2 linked regions of the Caenorhabditis elegans genome follow. The gene in region 2 interacts genetically with the main gene of each other region. Each region holds a gene or a part of one and is shown on either strand. Other genes may lie near its edges.

Region 1 (8,487 bases), on a different chromosome or scaffold from region 2:
CCATGAATAATACAATTCCGGCTAGCAATTTTAGTTGCGGTGCCAATCGGTTCACGGAATTTATTCCACAATTGTTTAACAGCACCGAGTGTAAAAATTTGAGAGGTATGATTTTTAATAATTATGTTTTTGTTTATTGAACTTATCTCAACTAACTACTAAACGTTTCTGACTTTTATGAAACAGTTTTTTATTGAAAAAAATTAAAACATTACTGAAAATTTTTGAAGATAGTTTCAAGATTTTTATCATCTTCGAAAATTAAATTTTCAGATCCAATGAACGTCTGCTGTGAAACCCACGACAACTGCTACAACACTCAAATTGGTAAAGATTTTTGCGATAATGAATTTTGTCTATGTCTAAGTACGGCCACAGAAAAGAATCTTTGCGCAGTGAGTTTTTTTTTTAATTAAAATTTGTTTTTTTTTCATATTGAAAAGTAATCCCATGTTTCAGGTGGATGCTGCCGGATTCTGTGCAGCTGTTCGACTTTTTGGAGAGACTGCGTATAACACCTTGGGAGGACTAGAACCAGTATCTCCCACTATAAATTAAATTTTAAAAAAATCAACATTTGTTAGTATCCATTGTCAAGATGATCACTTTTATTTTTGAAAACAATGTGATTTCAATTTTCAAAATCAATTTAAATGCCCGCATTGTAGGCGGTTGAAGTTGCCAAAGTCATAATGTACATAAATCTGTTTTTTTTTCAACTTTCAAACAATTTATTATCTTTTTTTTAAATAGAAATATGAGCACAGAAAAGGAGACATTTGAAAACAATTACGCGAATGAAAAAACATAGAGATCGAAATGTGACCGTAAAACATGGAATCAGGAATAAATGTCATGGGTTCTTGCGTAATCTGTGAGCTCTCGGAAAATGTGCTCTCTCCATGAATCCACGTTCTGTTCCACATCCATATTATGATCATACGGAAGTGGAGGTGGAGCATATACCTGAAAACATATGAATATGAGTTAATAATATTATAATTCTTTTCGAATTCGATATTACATACGGCTGTGGCTGGCGTATCTTCATTCGCAATTTATGGTTCTTGAGAATGTGAATTATATGCTGTTCTTTTTTAATACTGCGTTATTAATAATTTCATTTATTCTCAAAAGATGTCGGGTAAACAATTGTAAAGAAAATACGATATGCTTACATCTTAGCTTTGAAACAGTAAATTTTTTCTTACCAAATATGCTTCGTGTTATTTTCAAGCTTCAAACAGAAAATAACAAAAAAACATATTTAACAAGAAAAAAAAAATTACTGTTTCAAAGCTAAGATGTATATTGTATTTTTCGTTGCAATTGTTTGTCCCATCACTAATTTAGCGAAAACATTGAATAATTAGTAGATATTATTATTATGCTCAAATTCAATATTGGACGTTCGACCCGGTTGAAATTGACGTGTGACCCTTAGTAGACTCCTCACTCGACCTTTTTAATAATATAAATTCTGTACAGATATCGGAAAAAGATACAAATTTTAAGCTGTTTTTAATAAGGTTACCGCAATATAACCTTTATTTGTTTTCAACAAAATAAAAATAAACGAAAGTGAAAAATTATCACTGTTTCAAAATCTCAATTAACATATGTTTTATTTTGAAATTGATTCAGCAACATTATTCAAATTTTATTAGGGCTGGCCATCCGGAGTCCGGATTTTAGAGTTTTTCTTCCACGCAAAAAATAGGATTTCGGTTTTTGAAAAGTCATTCATATTTAACTGTATATTTTGTGTTGTGTAATAGGAAAAAATCTTACTTCAATTTCATCAAACCAAACATTGACATATGGATGTCTCAGTGCATCATCCACAGAAATCCTTCTTTCCGGATCTATGACTAACATTCGAGAAAGTAAGTCACGAGCTTGAGCACCTAGAAAATGTTTAATTTTTGAAATTATTCTGTTAAAGCATACCTGTAAGTCTTGAGCTGTCAGCTGTCATTGGGAACATGTTATCACTGAAGAGAACTTCAAACGGCGTTGCTTGATATCTGAATTATTTTATTTTAATCGAGTTCATTGTATTAGTAAAATATTTTAATTCATACCTTGGCCGATTTTCCACATAATTTCTGACAGTTGGTTGTAACCGTTCTAAAAATGACCTATCCGGAGTACCCAATTGTTCTGAATTCGGAAATGTTGGCAGTTCGTTTTAATCATTTTCAAAATTACCAATAATCCTAGTCCACTGATCGATATGGTCACCACCCGGGAATAGTACACGTCCACGTATCAGCTCTCCAAATATACACCCAATTGACCAAACATCAACTGAAAAATATTTTGTTTGAAAAATATAACTTTGTTAAATTGCTTAAAGAATTTGAAAATGAATAACGATTATTCTTCTATTTTTAAAACTAGAAAAAACTGAAAAAATGTGTGCTCCGATTTAATATTGGTGTTCATCACTTTAACTCAAAAATCTTACCATTTTCCTTGTAACCCATTCCTAAAATAACTTCCGGTGCCCGATAGTATCTTGTCACAACGTAAGGAGTCATCATGAATGCCTCAATCGCAGTTCGAGCCAATCCGAAATCCAAGATTTTTAGAGTACAATCACTTCGAACGACAATGTTTGATGGTTTCAAATCCTGTAACAATTTGTAGAATAAATATTTGGAAAAAAAAATCTCAGAGGGACAACCCGGTTCAGAATAATCGGTAGCATAAATTTTTTATATGCCTATCTGCCTGAGAGCTTGCCTACTAAAATGCTCCTCTGAATTTTTTTAGTAAAAATAATAATGGGCACAAAAACTTTTGCTCCACAAAAAAGAAGCCATGTTCCGATTTTTCGCAACTTGTGCCTTGGAAGTAGGCACAAGGCGATTATAAGTCGCCTAGATATTCTTTTTTCTGTCAGTCTCACCCTGTGTATAATTCCAGCACTATGTAAATGCCTGATACCACATAACATTTGATAAAGAAGATATGATAATCTCTCATGATCCAAATCCATTTGAATCACTTGACAAAGATTTGCATCCATAAGTTCCATAACAATATAAAGATCGTTGAATTCGTCGAGTTTCTTTTGTGGTGTAAAACAATTCAGAATACCTATGATCTGAAAAATGAGGAATTGAAGTCCAACGTAAAATCTTGAAAAAACTCACATTTTTATGATTTACAAGACTCATGAGTTTTAATTCTCGATAAGCCCTCTTTGCATGTGTCACATTTTGAAATGGCCTTGATAATTTCTTTATGGCAACTTGTTCGTTCCGTACCGTATCAAACGCTGAGCTGAAAAATAATAAATTTGATTTCCAGCATAGTTGAGATTTTTTAACCAAACAATATAGAATCGAGAAAATTTTTGTCTCTTCAAAATCGCTTTCCCATTATACCAACAACAAAATTACTCACCAAACAATTCCCTGAGCACCAGACCCGATCAACCTGAGATTTTGATATCGTTTGAGAACAACCATCTGCGCTTCCCCTATTGTCACCTGAAACATATCGAGATCTTCAACCAAACTGTTAAAATTGTACTCACCGAATAATAGTTTTCGGGAACATGAATAGAGGATGGTTCCATGAGAATTCCTCCTCCTGTTCCACTGTTTATGTGATGACGAACAGGACTGTACACTGATTGGCAACTATCCAAAGAGACAGCGTCGTCGTCTCGACCAGATGATGATGGAACCAGCCACTGAAAATAGGGAATAAAGATATAGTTAGATATTGATGATTTTGTTTTAAAAACTGTTATTTCTGACTATTGAGTGACCATCAACATTTGATAAAACAGTTGCGAAGTTTTCTGAAACCGTAAGCAACTTCGCCTCAGTTCGTGTTTTGTGAACAAAATTTCTCTGTTTCAAGGACTTTTCTTGAATTTTGTCAATTCTGCCAGTAATGTTCATATATTTTCAAAAAATTTCATAAAAATTTAACGAAACTAATGATAATTTGAACTATGAGCTGATAAATTTGCAAACTCAAGTGTCTCTAAAATAGAAAATACGGCTTATAAAACATCAGTGGTAGTGCCCATTTTTAAAAGACAAAATTTCAATTTCATGCTTTTGAGTTTTAGTCAACTCAAACTTAAACTCACATTCCCAACGGACTCGATAAAATTGTTGAGGTGTCCACGGGTTCCTCGAATGATTGATGATATCGAGGAGGATGCGAGCAGAGTGTTGTGATCCTCTTCCACGCTTCTACCTGAAAATCGGATAAATTTAAATGCCATTACAGTGAAAACAGTGAAATGTAGAAACTTCTCGAAGGATACAAAAACGATTTCCTCAAAAATACTCGAACACAAACAATTATTTTGGTATTAAATTTAGACTTTCACTATCAAAATTATGATTTGAAAGAAAGCAATTTGTTGAAAAAAATATTTGGAAAATAAAATATTTGAAACAGAGAAAAATGTGATATTAGATGCATTACTAAAAATCTAATTAACTCAGCCGCATATTAACGGGATCTATGTATTTACCCAAAAACCAATCCAGAAATCTTTTTTTTTTCAAAAAACCCAGACTCTTTGCTAGCTTCAAAAGAAATGTATAAATAAATGGAGACTATTTATCCATTTTTTGGTGTCTTTTTCACATTCAGCACACACAATGCACTTTTCGACTCTTTTTTTTTGCTGTCCGTTTGGATGTCTTTTTCTGTCCAATTTGGAGCAGAGACAAAATTTAGAGAAAATACACAAGATGGAAGGAAGACGCAGAGTTAGAAAGAACACAATTTCACTGATGAGGTTATATTGGGGCTAAGGGAAAAGAGGGCTCTGAAGGGAACATAAGATGGTCGGGGTGGAAAAGCGGAAAGGATTATTTAGGTCAGAAAAGGAAGAAACACGGAAATTAAAGATGAAGAGGGTACTACTCGTTAGAGTGTTACATTCATTTGTCGGAAAACTTTTTAGAACAGAAATAAGGGGAATATTCAAGAATCAAACCTATTTTCAAAATTTAACTGTTTCATAAAATTATCAAAAGTCTACTGATAATGACCTCGATATTGTTGTATTGCACTAAAGGGTATTTTTTTTGGTGACAACTTAAAATTTTCAACTAGTTTCAAAAGGACAAATATTCTAAATTAGTCCTTTCTAGCAAAGTTATGATCAAAACAGTTTAGCTAAATTTTCAAAAAAAAAACCTCTAACTTCTTGATTCACAGAAGCTCTCCTCACTTCAAAACCAAAAAATTGTCATAATTTTCAACTTCTAGTGATTTATAATAACAACTTTAACAAGAAAAAAACTATAAGTTGGGGTGGATGTACTAGTCGATGGGGTTGGTTGCGAGGGTCTCAGTGGTGGTTGTGTGTCTCCGGAGCTCTCCGGAGCAGTGGCGGCGGTCCTTCTCTACGTCTCCGTCGTCTTTCCGTCGTCATTCTGTGCAAAACGGGGCCGCGCCTTTCCTATATCGATTTTTGTGTTTAGAAGACTTTGAGAATGGGGTAGAAGGGGGCACAAGAAGGACGTCTTTTCGATTTGTGAATGAAAGTGAGGAAAGAAAAAGAAGCAAAAACATAGAAAGAGAGAGAAAGAGGAAGATGTTGAGCATGTTTGTGGAAGAGAAGCTACCAACGTAGAATATGGTACCCATGGGACCATAAATTATAATAGAAACGGAAAAGACAAAAAGAAGAGGAAGAAGAAGTTAAGAGGCGTAAAGCATATGGAACAGAACTGAAAAGACACGACTTTGTGACGTCATTGTCGAGGGTTTGAGACTTTTGTTGTGACGAGTTCAAAATTTTATTTTAAATAAAAATATCTAGATTTCGAGAAGTAACTGTCGCGTTTGAGAATGAAATACAATTTTTAACACTTTGGTACGAGTCGCTCTGCTGCAAGTTCAAAAAAGTGTATTTCGATTAAACGAGCGAAAATGCTCAATTTGTTTATTTGCTCACTAAAACAATTGTTCTATCTAAATATACTCAGAATGAGCCAAAAGACCATCAGTACAAAATTCAAAAATTTTTTAAATTCAAAATTTTTTAAAATTTTTTTCAGATATTTAAAAATTTGTTGCATATCTGTAATTCCACAATTAAAAATAAATTGAATTAATTATATTGTGCATTTAAATGGATATCCCATATTAATAACTTTTGCGATTTTTTAAATGGAAATTTTGTGACCCGCTAATTTAGAAAGTGTATATTATTAACTTGGTCAAGAAACTATACTTTCTTGTTGCTTTTCTAGAACTAGCTGCTAATTTAGTGCTACCTCAACTTTTTAATACAATTTTGAAATGTTATATTGAAATTTTTATTGGTTCATATTTAAATTAAAGAGAAGGTAATACATGTAAAATGTAGTTCATATTACTTACAGTGGCATGTAAAAAACACTGAAAAAATCCTTTAAAAATGTGAAAAAAGAGCTAGTAATTTTTAATTTGAATTCCCACATTTCCAGCCACTTTACTCAATTTTATTAGTCCCACAATTATTGATGTTAACGGGTTTTACAGGCTTTTCTTTTGGTTTAGTCATAAATTTCAGAATTTCCCTGTTGAGTTAAATTTGATTAAATCTTAATTTAAAAAAACTGATTCCTAATTAAAAAAAGACACAGTTTTCCCAAATTTCAATTTTGCAAAAAAAACAATTAACTTTCGTAGATAAAAAAGAAGCTAGAATAATATTTTGCAAAAATTTAAAAACAAACCTGGATGTGACGGATACGATGATGTTGTGGATAATCGTTCCTCCATGTGCACAGGATCACACACTTTAACTTGCTGATGGTTCTGAAAATATTATTATACGTATTCATTGGTGGAAATTGCAAAAAGCTGATAGTGGCTAATTTAAGAACGGTTCAAATTAGCGAGAATCTCATTAATTAATTTTAACCAGCTTCTAGAAAAACAAAACTGAACAGGGAAAAAAAATTGCGGACACCAAAATAAAGAATAGAAAAAATGAAAATGTTGAGGAAATGGAAACTATTTTCCAGTTAGAATACATTGCAATTGAGGGCAGAAAAATTGAAATTTGAGAATTCGTGTTGAAATCTCGAATTCCATTTTCCCGTAAAATGGTCACTTGTTGTTTTCCAGAAAATGAAAAAAAGTACATATTTCAATATTAATTTTAAAAACACCACTAAAAACTTACTTCTGCAGTAATTTTTTTTAAAAAATTTCAGGGCGGTTTAAGTTTAAAGGTTTTTTTCTGTACTTTGTATTATGTTTAGTTATTATTAAAATCACTTTTCCTTCTGTATGTACTGAACTCTCCATTTTTTTCAAAAGACTAAATGGAAATCACTAACTAAATAAATATGTGAAACATTTTAAAGACTACGTGAAACATTTTAAAGCCACTTGCCACTTTTCCGAAGTCTTCTAAGACTTCTAAACCTTTTCTAGTATTTGCTCCCTAATATATTCTCAAAAGTGTAAAGAGCGGGAGTTGTCGTCAAAGTTCTCAAAAGGATTCCCGATGCAGTAGAGTAGCCAATTGGGGCTCTCATGTCAGTCACATGGGCGGCAGATTTGGTGATGAGAAGAAGAAGAAGAACTTGAGAATAATGAGACGCAGGCTTTGAAAGTTCGTCCTTTCTGTGGATGGAGGACAAGGATTCAAGCAAAGAATTGGAATTTAATTTAGAAAATGTGATGATGGAGAAGGGAAAGAAAGAATTGGAGGGACAAGGTTGAAGGCAACCGGGACATGTTTGAAACTAAGGAGCGCTTCAAAAAAATGGAAAAATCATTCGATTTTTTTCAAAACAAAAAATTGAAAGTTTACTGAAGCTTTTTTTTGGAAAAGCTATGAAAACAGCGGATTTTCAATTTATTTTTATTTTTTCACACGATTCTTTGTTTTCTTTCTACAAGAAGTTGAACTCTAATTTGAACCTTACCAAAAGACATCTTTTTCTGTTTTTATATTGTGATATTTCTGAATTTTGGGTATTTCGAAGCAAAATCAAAACGGTGAATAATTTTGAATGATAATGTATTTTCACTAACTTGAATGAACCAAAATGAAAAAAAATGATCACGCAAAAATAGGTATCTCGATTTTTTTTGTATGAGATCCGTCTCTTAGGCAACCGTGCTTTTCTTTACAAATTCAATTATTCATACTTGTTTATTTAGGTAGTATAGAACGACAATTTGAATCACATTATGCATATGTATAACTGGTTTAAAATAAAGAAGAGAGGTTTTTAAATGCACTTTTTCAAAAATAAATTTGAGGTTTGATGAAAAGTTTTCAACTTATTCGCTTGGCTTAAAATTATCAGATTAAAAAAAAAATTTCAAAGTTTTGGAAGATTGACCAATTTTTCAAATAAGGCTTCACAAATGTTAAAATACAAACGTAATGAATGTTTTAATTTTTTTAAAACTTTTTTTTCGGTTGCCGAAATTATGATAGGAAAACTTAACAAATGCCAATTTTTGTTTATAGATAAATTCATATAGCTATTT
Region 2 (9,508 bases):
ATTTCTACAAAAAAAAAAACATTTAAATTCTAACAAAAAATGCTTCAAAAAATTTTTTAACGAAAAAATAAAATTTTACTTTTTTTTTTAAATTTAACAAAAATTAACAATAAAAATTTTAACAAAAAAAAATTAAATTTCAAAAAAAATTTTAATTTTAACGAAAAATTCAAATTGAAACATTTTTTCTCTCTAATAAAAAAAAATCAAGTTTTTACGAAAAAGTTAATTTTAACAGAATAAAATTTTTTAAAAAATTTTTCACAAAAAACATTTGAAACTAATAAAACATGCTCTGAAACTTTTTTAAACAGCATTTCAACGAAAAAAATGAATTTTAGCAAAAAAAATTAAATTGTTTAAAAATCAAATTTTTCAACAACAAAAATTTTAATTTATTTAAAAAAACTATATTTTAACAAAAAAAAATCAAAATTTCACAAAAAGCTTTAAAAATTTTTTAACAGAAACATTTCAACGAAAAAATTAAATTAAACAATTTATTTAAAAAAAAAAAGAATTTTAAAAATAATTTTAAACAAAAAAAAATTATATTTTCAAAAAATTATTAACAAAAAAAACTTTAAGATCACATTTTTTATAAAATAAATTCAAATTTCTCAGAGCACATCCTACCTGGCTTGGGGTCTCTCACTTATGGTAACCTTCATGATTCTCTTCTTCTTCCTCTCAATTGTCAATTCACTGGCAAAAGACTATCACAAGCGGTTATGGGAACGAAAACGGCGACAAAACAAGGTCGAGTAATTAGGTACAACTGCCCTGACACACTGCCCATTTGTCATTAATTTTCTAATTTTTTTCCTTTTAAAAAAATATGGAAAAATTGTTTTATTTCAACTTTTCAATTGTTCAGGATTTGATAGATGAGGAAAATCAAAGTTTTGAAGAGGAAGAAGAAGAAGCCGTAACTCCGCCATCATCATGCCCGCTGCTGTTATCAGATGGATTTGAAGGAGTTGTTGTTAAGAAATGAGAAATAAGAAATAATTGTATAATTTTTTTTTCCAAAAATTTAAATTTCTAAACTAAAATTCGAATTTTTGCATGCAAAAAACACCCACTTTTTGATCTCAAATTTGCACTTATTAAGCACTAAAAACCAATAATTTCTTCCCTTTAAAATCTAAAAAAAATCTTCCAATAACCCCCCCACTGATAACAACAACAAGGCATTTTTCACTCGACGACCGGTGGCGGAGCGCACGTCTTCTTATTCTTCTTCTTCTTCTTCTTTTCCTACCTTTTCTATCCCACTTTTTCCCCGGAATTTTGAGATTTGACATGATTTTTCAGAGAATTTCGAGTTTTGAGAAAAAAAAAATCAAAAAAGCGATTTTTTGGTCAAAAGCCGAAATTTAAAGCTAGTTTTTTTGGAAATATCGATTTTTTTTTTGAGAATTTTTCGATTTTCCAAAAAAAAAATCGAAAGTTGTTTCCCGAAAAGCCGAAATTTTTTTTGAGATATCGAAAAATCGGAGAATTTTTCGATGTTTCCCAGAAATACTAAAATTTTGAATTTTCCGGAAAAAAAATCGTTAAAAAATTAGTTTCTTTTAAAGACCGAAATTTAAAGTTTTTTTTTTGGAAATATCGATTTTTTCCGAGATATCTAAAATTGAAAGAAATTTTCGATTTTCTGAGAAAAATACGAAAAAATCGAAAAAAAAACCCAAATTTCGGTTTTTTCGTAAAAAAAGTCGTAAAAATGTAATTTTTTTCCTGAAAAATCGGAATTTTTTACAAAATATCGGAAAATACTCAAAAAAAAGCTGAAAATTTCGATTTTCCGGAGAAAAAATCTTTTTAAAAAAATATTTTTTTTTTCAGAAAATAAGAAAAGCCGAAATTTATAACTATTTCTCCGGAAATTCGAAATTTTTAACGAAATATCGGAATAATTTTTAGATTTTTCAAGTTTGACTTTGCGAGAAAAAAATCGGAAAAACCTCGATTCGACGCCGAAAAATGCTCCTTTTCGAAAAGATTTTTGAAATTTCAGAAAATCGACATGCAAGCGCGCTCCACGGCGAAATGACAACGATGATCCACCGCCCTCAAAAAGTTGGGTCTCGTTAGGTATTTGGCGGTAAAACTGGTAAAACTCCAGTTTTGCCTCCAACGAGACCCAATTTTTTGGGGCGGTGGTGGAGCGCGCTTGCACAAGCTGAAAGCATTTTTCTGCGACTCGATAATATTTTGAAAACCTGTGTCAATTCTCGAAATTCTTTTTTTAAAAAATAATCCCGAGCTTCTCTCAGTCCTCCTCTATGAGGATGTTCCTTTTTTTTGGTTTTTCAATTTTTTTTAAAATTCCAAATTTCTGTTGTGCAATTCACTTCCCCCCAAGAAATCCCAAAAATCCCCAGTTTTCCCCAAAAATGTTCCGTTTTCATGTGATTTTTCCCCCATTTTTAAAACATTTTTTTGACTTTTTTTTAAAATGATTATTATTATTGTTTTCTATTTCATGGCCGGTAAATTATTTTTTTTCTTTCTTTTTTTTTGCTCTTTTTTTTCAAGAATTTTCGAATTGTTTGAAGGGCTGCTCATCTAATCTTTTGTCATTTTGTTCTGATGCCATCATTTCTGAGAGGACCTTTGAAGACTCGTCACGAAACGGGAGGGGGGCTCAAGTGAGCATTATTATTATTATTATTGTCGCAAAAAGTTTACCCCGGGCTCCCCCTGGCTCCCCTCTTTGAGCAAGGGTTTAAGGGCTCATTTTGATGACGAATTGCTCATTGGGATTATAGTCACGCCCCTCTTTTGGAGCAACTACACAACTGAGCCACAGTAATCCTTGGGGGCGGGGTCAGTAGGACCCCCTCCGGAATAGGGAAAAGCTCAGTTCACCGCCAAAAATGTCCTCTGCTGCTGCTGACGAAAGTGATGCTGTGCTCGAGAATCTTATTGCGAAAGGTGGGTTACTGTAGGTTGAATGGGTCTCGCCACGACAATTTTTTTCGATGAAAGGTGTGCGCCTTTAAGGAGTACTGTAGTTTGGAATTTTTATCGATTTTTTAAAAATAGTTTTTCGATTGCATTGATTCTTGACAAAAACTATGAAAAATCGATAAATATTCCGAACTACAGTACTCTTTTTAAGGCACATACATTTGTTTGCATTCCACAAAAAATGTCGTGTCGAGACCGCAAAATTTCGCGATTGAGTAATAAAATAAAAGTGCCAAATTTCACAGATTCGATGTAGAAAATGAAGGTCTTTTGAAATTTCTCAATACTAATTTACACATATTTTTATTAGGATTTTTTTTAATATAAAAAATCTTCTCTTGTCGATTTACGCAGTTCGTGTACTCCTCGTGGAGAAGTTTGTGTGCAGTTTTGCCCATTTTCGCTAATTTTTGATTAGTTTTTAAAAAAATTAAAGTCAGATTCAGGCAAAAATATATGAATTTGCTGTTCAAATCCCCGTTCGGCAAATTCATTTTCCGGCAAATTCGGTAATTTGCCGATTTGCCGGAAATTTCCATCTTCGGCAATTTGCCGATTTGCCAACTAGCCGGAAAGTTTCAATTCCGGCAATTTGCCGGTTTGCCAAATTTTTCAATTCCGGCAATTTGCCGATTTGCTGGAATTTTTCAATTCTGGCAAGTTGCCGTTTTGCCAATTTGCCTGAAATTTCCATTTTCGGCAATTTGCCGGTTTGCCGGAAATTGTCAATTTTGCCAATTTGCTGATTCGCCGGAAGTGTTTATTTTCGGCAATCTACCGGTTTGCCGATTTGCCGATTTGCCGGAAATTGCAGTTCCGGTAATTTGCCGCTTTGTCGGAAATTTTCAATTCTGGCAATTTGCCGATTTGCTGGAAACTTTTAATTTTCACTTTTAATAGATTCCCGGCCAAATAGCATAAATTCTTAAAAATATAATAATCCCTAAAAACTGAAAACTTTCCAGAAATCCTTCCCCAAACCGGCAACTGGGAAGGAACCGAGGAATTTCTTAATCGAATTGTTCAGGTAAATTTCGAATCATTTTTTTAAAAATTTTTCAAGTTTCCCTGCGTTTCCAGGTTCTTCTGAAGTACATCAAAGATCAGAATGATCGTGATCAGAAGATTCTGGAATTCCATCATCCAGATAAAATGCAAATGTTGATGGATTTGTCTATTCCAGAGAAACCGGAGAGCTTGTTGAAGCTTGTGAAGGTAACGAAAAATAATTTTGTTCTTTCCTATTAAGCTCAGGATTAGGGGCTTAGGCATAAGCTTAGGCTTGGGCTTGTGCTTGTGCTTAGGCTTTGGCTTAGGTTTAGGCCTAGGTATAGACTCGAGCGGCTCAGGAAATATTAATTAGTTTGAACTAGGAGTTTGAAATATTCGGATTTAGTTTAAGAGCGGAAAAAAAATTGATTTTCCGAAATGCGATCAATCAATGATTCGCTCCGCCCAATATTCTACCAATCAGTTGAAGTGGGAAGAGCTGGAAGACGCTGATTGGTTTGAAAGTGGGTGGGGTAAATTGCTGATTGGTCAGCTTTTATTTTGGCGAGAGTACTAGCGAAGGGTTGCCAGAAGGAAAAAAAACTTAATTTTTAAAGAATTTGGCCTATTTTGTAGTTTTTAGCAAATTCGACTATAAAATTTTGGGAAAATCTTAGATAAGCCTAAGCCTGAGCCTAAGCATAAGCCTAAGCCTAAGCCTAAGCATAAGCCTAAGCCTGAGCCTAAGCCTAAGACTAAACCTAAGCCTAAACCTAAGACTAAGCCTGAGCCTCAGCCTAGGCTTAATCATATGACGCAGCCTAATCCTAAGCCTAAGTCCAAGCTTAATCCATGCTCAATCTTGAGCTTAATACGAACAATTTTGAAAAATCAAAAATTCTTCAGCTCTAACGAATCTGTCAATTGCTAGTCGTTCAGAAAATTCAAATATTCTCAAAAAAATTTCATTTTCAAAGTAATAATAATTCCATCGTTTTTTCATATCCTTGTCCCACCAAAAAACATTTTTTTTTCATTTCCAAATCCTATTTCCGCACTCATTTTTCTCATTTCGCCCTCGGGGCACAATATAAACCATTAACATGCTCTTTTCCTCTTTTCTACCAGACATCTCGAAAACACTTGAAAATGGGGGGCTCCAGTGCTCTTTTCATTTGCACACACATACAATTTCCCCAAAAAAAGGACATTACAGAGCTGTGAAGATGTGCTTCGATTGGGTGTACGTACTGGACATCCACGCTTTTTCAACCAAATCTCGTGTGGACTCGACTTGGTTTCGATGGCTGGGGAATGGCTTACCGCAACTGCAAATACTAATATGTGGGTATTTGAGGGGAAGGATTAAGCTTAGGCTTAGGTTTAGGCCTAGACTTAGGCTTGGGCTCAGGCTTAGGCTTATGCTAAGCCTTAGGACTAAGCTTAGGCTTAGGTTTAGGCCTAGGCTTAGGCTTGGGCTCAGGCGCAGGCTCAGGCTTATGCGAAGCCTCAGGACTAGGCTTAGGCTTAGGCTTAAGCTTAGGCTCAGGCTTAGGCTTAGGCGTAGACTTAGGCTTAGGCTTAGATCGTGAAGGGACTTTCAAAATTGGCTTCAGAGTTTTTTCAAATTTAAAAACTCCGAGAAAATTACCAAAAACTCAGGAATTGCTCCTGAGGCACACAGATGAGCATTTTTACGTGTAAATTGCTCAATTTTGTTGCGATGAAGTTTTGAGAAAAGTCCCGCAAAACTTTCTAATCCAGCAATGAATATGGAAGGTTTTCTGAAATGCAAGCTTATGTAATTTTTTACATCTTTATACATAGATTATTAATAGAGAGGTTTTTTTAAACTAAAATTTGCTAGTAGGCTAAAACCTATTCAGAGTGGTACAATGCATTTAAAAAAAAAGAAAAATTGTTTAATTGTGTATTGTAATGTGATTGTATAGTGAAGAACTGACCTCATTAGGCTTTCACATAACAGTCAAATTATACTCAAAGTGATGCTCGTACTTGGCTGAGCTCTAACAAGCCGAAATTATAGGCTCAGTTTAAGAAATTTAACAGTACTTGCCGATCTTCAAAGTATACGTCAAGAAAGCGACAAAAAATTTAACAAAGGCAGTAGGCAGGCAGGCGCTCTTTCCTATGATAATAGTTAATAATATAGTTTTCAAATGTATAATATTTTAATAAAGCCTTTAGAAAATTTGAACATTTTTAAAAAAGTCTGGAAGCTAGAATCTTTCAGGTTCACCTATGAAATCGCGCCTGTCTTCATCCTTATGGAAAAGTCGGTAATGGCCAGAATGTGGGAAGCAGTTGGATGGGATCCGGAAAAAGCTGATGGAATCTTTGCACCAGGTGGAGCAATCGCCAATTTGTATGCAATGAATGCGGCACGTCATCAACTTTGGCCACGTAGCAAGCATCTCGGAATGAAGGATATTCCGACATTGTGCTGCTTTACTAGCGAGGATGTAAGATTTTTTTAAAATTTAAAGAATTAATTTTTGGCTGTTACTTATGAAACATTTATTCAACATTGAAATATTCCTCAATTTTTTGAATTTTTTTTGCGGGTTTTCTCAAGTTTATACGCAAAAATTGATAGTCCTTGTAAAGTTATTCGGCAAAATTTGGCAAAACTTGTTTTCCAATATTGGCCGAGCTCGGCAAATTTGGCAAATTTGCCGTGCTCCGAAAATAGAAAAAGTTTCGGATATTCCCAGGCTATTACTGAATCCTTAGCACAAGCGGCAATTTTCGTTCGGCAATTTTTTTTTGTCGAAAAATTCTGCAAAATTTGACAATTTGCCGGAAACTTCCAATTCCGGCAATTTACCGGATTGCCAATTTGCCGGAAAATTTCAATTCCGGCTAATTGCCGGTTTTGACGATTTGTCGGAAATTTAAATTCTGCCAATTTGCCGATTTGCAGGAAATGTTCTATTTCGGCAAACAGCCGGTTTGCCGAAAATTTCAATTACGGCAAATTTTTTTGTCGACAAATTCGGCAAAATGCCGGTTTGCCGATTTGCCGGAAACTTCCAATTCCGGCAATTTATCTGTTTGCCGATTTGCCGAAAATTTTCAATTTGCCGATTTGCCTGAAATTTCCATTTTCGGCAATTTTTCAACTTGCCGGAAATGTTCGATTCCGTCAATTTACCGATTTGCCCATTTGCCGAATTTTAGAAAAAATGTTTCTCCACGAGGAGTACACGAGCCGCGTAAATCTACAGACGTTTTCTGATTTTTTTTCCGGCAAAAGCCGGTTTTCCAATTTGCCGGAAACTTCCAACTCTGGCAATTTACCGGATTGCCAATTTGCCGGAAACCTTCCATTCCGGCAAATTGCCGGTTTGCAAGTTTGCTGGAAATTTTTATTTTTGGCAAATCGACGAATCGCCGGTTTGCCGATTTGCCGGAAACTGTCAATTCTGGCACATTGCCGGTTTGCAAGTTTGCTGGAAATTTTTATTTTTGGCAAATCGACGAATTGCCGGTTTGCCGGAAACTGTCGATTCCAGCAAATTGTCGGTTTGCTAGTTTGCTGGAAATTTTTATTTTTGGCAAATCGACGAATTGCCGGTTCGCCGATTTCCCGGAAACTGTCAATTCTGGCACATTGCCGGTTTGCAAGTTTGCTGGAAACTGTTACTTTTGGCAAATCGACGAATTGCCGGTTTGCCGGTTTGCCGGAAACTGTCGATTCCGGCAAATTGTCGGTTTGCTAGTTTGACGGAAATTTTTATTTTTATTAAATTGACGAATTGCCGGATTACCAATTTGCCTGAAACTTTCAATTTCGGCAAACTGTCGGATTGCCAATTTGCCGGAAACTTTTATTTTTAGCAAATTGTGGGTTACAAATTTGCCGAAAATTAAAAAAAAATTTAAGTGCAAACCCTGCCGATTTGCCGATTCGTCGGAAAAATTGTTTGCCGCCCACCATTTTTGAATAATTTTGTTCGGTCAAATTTTTAAAATCCAATTTTGTGGGCCGTGCGGCAAATTTCCAAGTTTGTCGAGCTCGGCAAACGGGAAATTCGGCAATTTTTGAAATTTTTTCTCTGCCACTTTTTTCCTCTAAAACCTTAAATTTGCAGAGTCACTACTCCATCAAATCTGCCTCCGCTGTTCTTGGCATTGGCGCAGACTATTGCTTCAACATTCCAACCGATAAAAATGGAAAAATGATTCCAGAAGCTCTAGAAGCTAAGATTATCGAATGTAAAAAAGAGGGTCTGACCCCGTTCTTTGCCTGCTGCACAGCCGGCTCAACTGTCTACGGAGCATTTGATCCATTGGAGCGAGTCGCAAACATCTGTGAACGTCATAAGCTCTGGTTCCACGTGGATGCCGCTTGGGGTGGTGGAATGCTCCTGTCTCCCGAGCATCGGTACAAGCTGGCAGGAATTGAGAGAGCTAATTCAGTGACATGGAATCCACATAAGCTCATGGGAGCACTTCTCCAGTGCTCGGCATGCTTGTTCCGTCAGGATGGACTACTGTTCCAGTGTAATCAAATGTCGGCTGATTATCTATTCCAACAAGATAAACCGTACGATGTGAGCTTTGATACTGGAGATAAAGCCATTCAATGTGGACGGCACAATGATGTTTTCAAGCTTTGGTTGATGTGGAAGAGCAAGGGAATGGAGGGATATCGTCAGCAAATTAATAAGTTGATGGATTTGGCCAACTATTTTACCAGGAGAATTAAGGAAACTGAAGGATTTGAGTTGATTATTGAGAATGTGAGTTTCGGTGAGCAATTGCCGGTTTGCCAATTTGCCGGAAATATTCAATTCCGGCAATTTGCCGAGTAGCCTTTTGCCGGATATCAATTTGCCGGAAGTGTTTAGAGGACTTAAACCTGTGTCTTTTTGAAATTTTTTCCGTTTCTTTAGATATTCATAGGATGCGTACAATTTTGCCGATTGAAGTTGAAATTCTGAAATTTCCAAAAAAAAAAATGTGCAAAGCCACTATTTGCCGAAAATTTGGGCAATTGCCATTGTTCCGGCAAATTCGGAAAATGGGCAATTAGTCGGTTTGCCGATTTGCCGGAAATTTTCAATTCCGACAATTTGCCGGTTTGCCGATTTTCTGGCAAAAATCGTTTGCCGCCCACCCTTGGATCATAATATTTTGGTCAATTTTTCGTTTTTTTTTGTTAATTTTTCTAAACACTTTTTTCGATTTTGTGATTATCTCTGAAAAATCGAAAAAATATTAAAAAAAAAAAGGAAATTGAAACATCTAAACATTTTTTAAACTGCTTGAAAAATATCTAAAACACTTTAAATCGAAAAAAATCAAATTACATACCTTCGAGGCGAGTTATGCCTGTCTTGTAGGCAGGTAGGCACTGCTAGGCACCTACTAGGCAGGAATTTTGAAGCCTGCAGTATGATTACTTCTTTAATTTTTATGAAATTTATAAAATGTTTCACTGGGTTTAAAAAAAAATTAATTTCAAAGTTAATTTAATTAAAACAAAAAAAAACTTCAAATTTTTCAAATTTTC

The links. A genetic interaction does not mean that the proteins touch.
Region 1: of unc-25 (region 2) and jnk-1, changing one suppresses a phenotype caused by changing the other (phenotypic suppression), as found in Caenorhabditis elegans (one study listed by BioGRID).

Annotation. Positions count from the first base shown.
Region 1 is NC_003282.8:6,955,946-6,964,432, reverse strand, and holds jnk-1 (Stress-activated protein kinase jnk-1), read right to left. Parts: upstream 6,793-8,487; 5' UTR 6,757-6,792; coding exon 6,711-6,756; intron 5,451-6,710; exon of another isoform or gene 5,313-5,450; intron 5,066-5,312; exon of another isoform or gene 5,042-5,065; intron 4,225-5,041; coding exon 4,115-4,224; intron 3,707-4,114; coding exon 3,548-3,706; intron 3,501-3,547; coding exon 3,415-3,500; intron 3,292-3,414; coding exon 3,162-3,291; intron 3,113-3,161; coding exon 2,915-3,112; intron 2,637-2,914; coding exon 2,471-2,636; intron 2,311-2,470; coding exon 2,212-2,310; intron 2,164-2,211; coding exon 2,085-2,163; intron 2,028-2,084; coding exon 1,951-2,027; intron 1,908-1,950; coding exon 1,792-1,907; exon of another isoform or gene 967-1,791; coding exon 841-966; 3' UTR 714-840; downstream 1-713. Other genes in the region: B0478.3 (uncharacterized protein), read left to right, coding at 1-105, 274-395, 460-558. UniProt on the Caenorhabditis elegans protein: Serine/threonine-protein kinase which responds to activation by environmental stress by phosphorylating a number of transcription factors such as daf-16, and thus regulates transcriptional activity.
Region 2 is NC_003281.10:12,939,776-12,949,283, forward strand, and holds the start of unc-25 (Glutamate decarboxylase 1), read left to right. Parts: upstream 1-2,875; 5' UTR 2,876-2,885; coding exon 2,886-2,943; intron 2,944-3,944; coding exon 3,945-4,006; intron 4,007-4,059; coding exon 4,060-4,194; intron 4,195-5,185; coding exon 5,186-5,313; intron 5,314-6,223; coding exon 6,224-6,452; intron 6,453-8,084; coding exon 8,085-8,735; coding exon of another isoform or gene 8,736-8,745; intron 8,746-9,508. Other genes in the region: epg-3 (Ectopic P granules protein 3), read left to right, coding at 625-759, 878-997.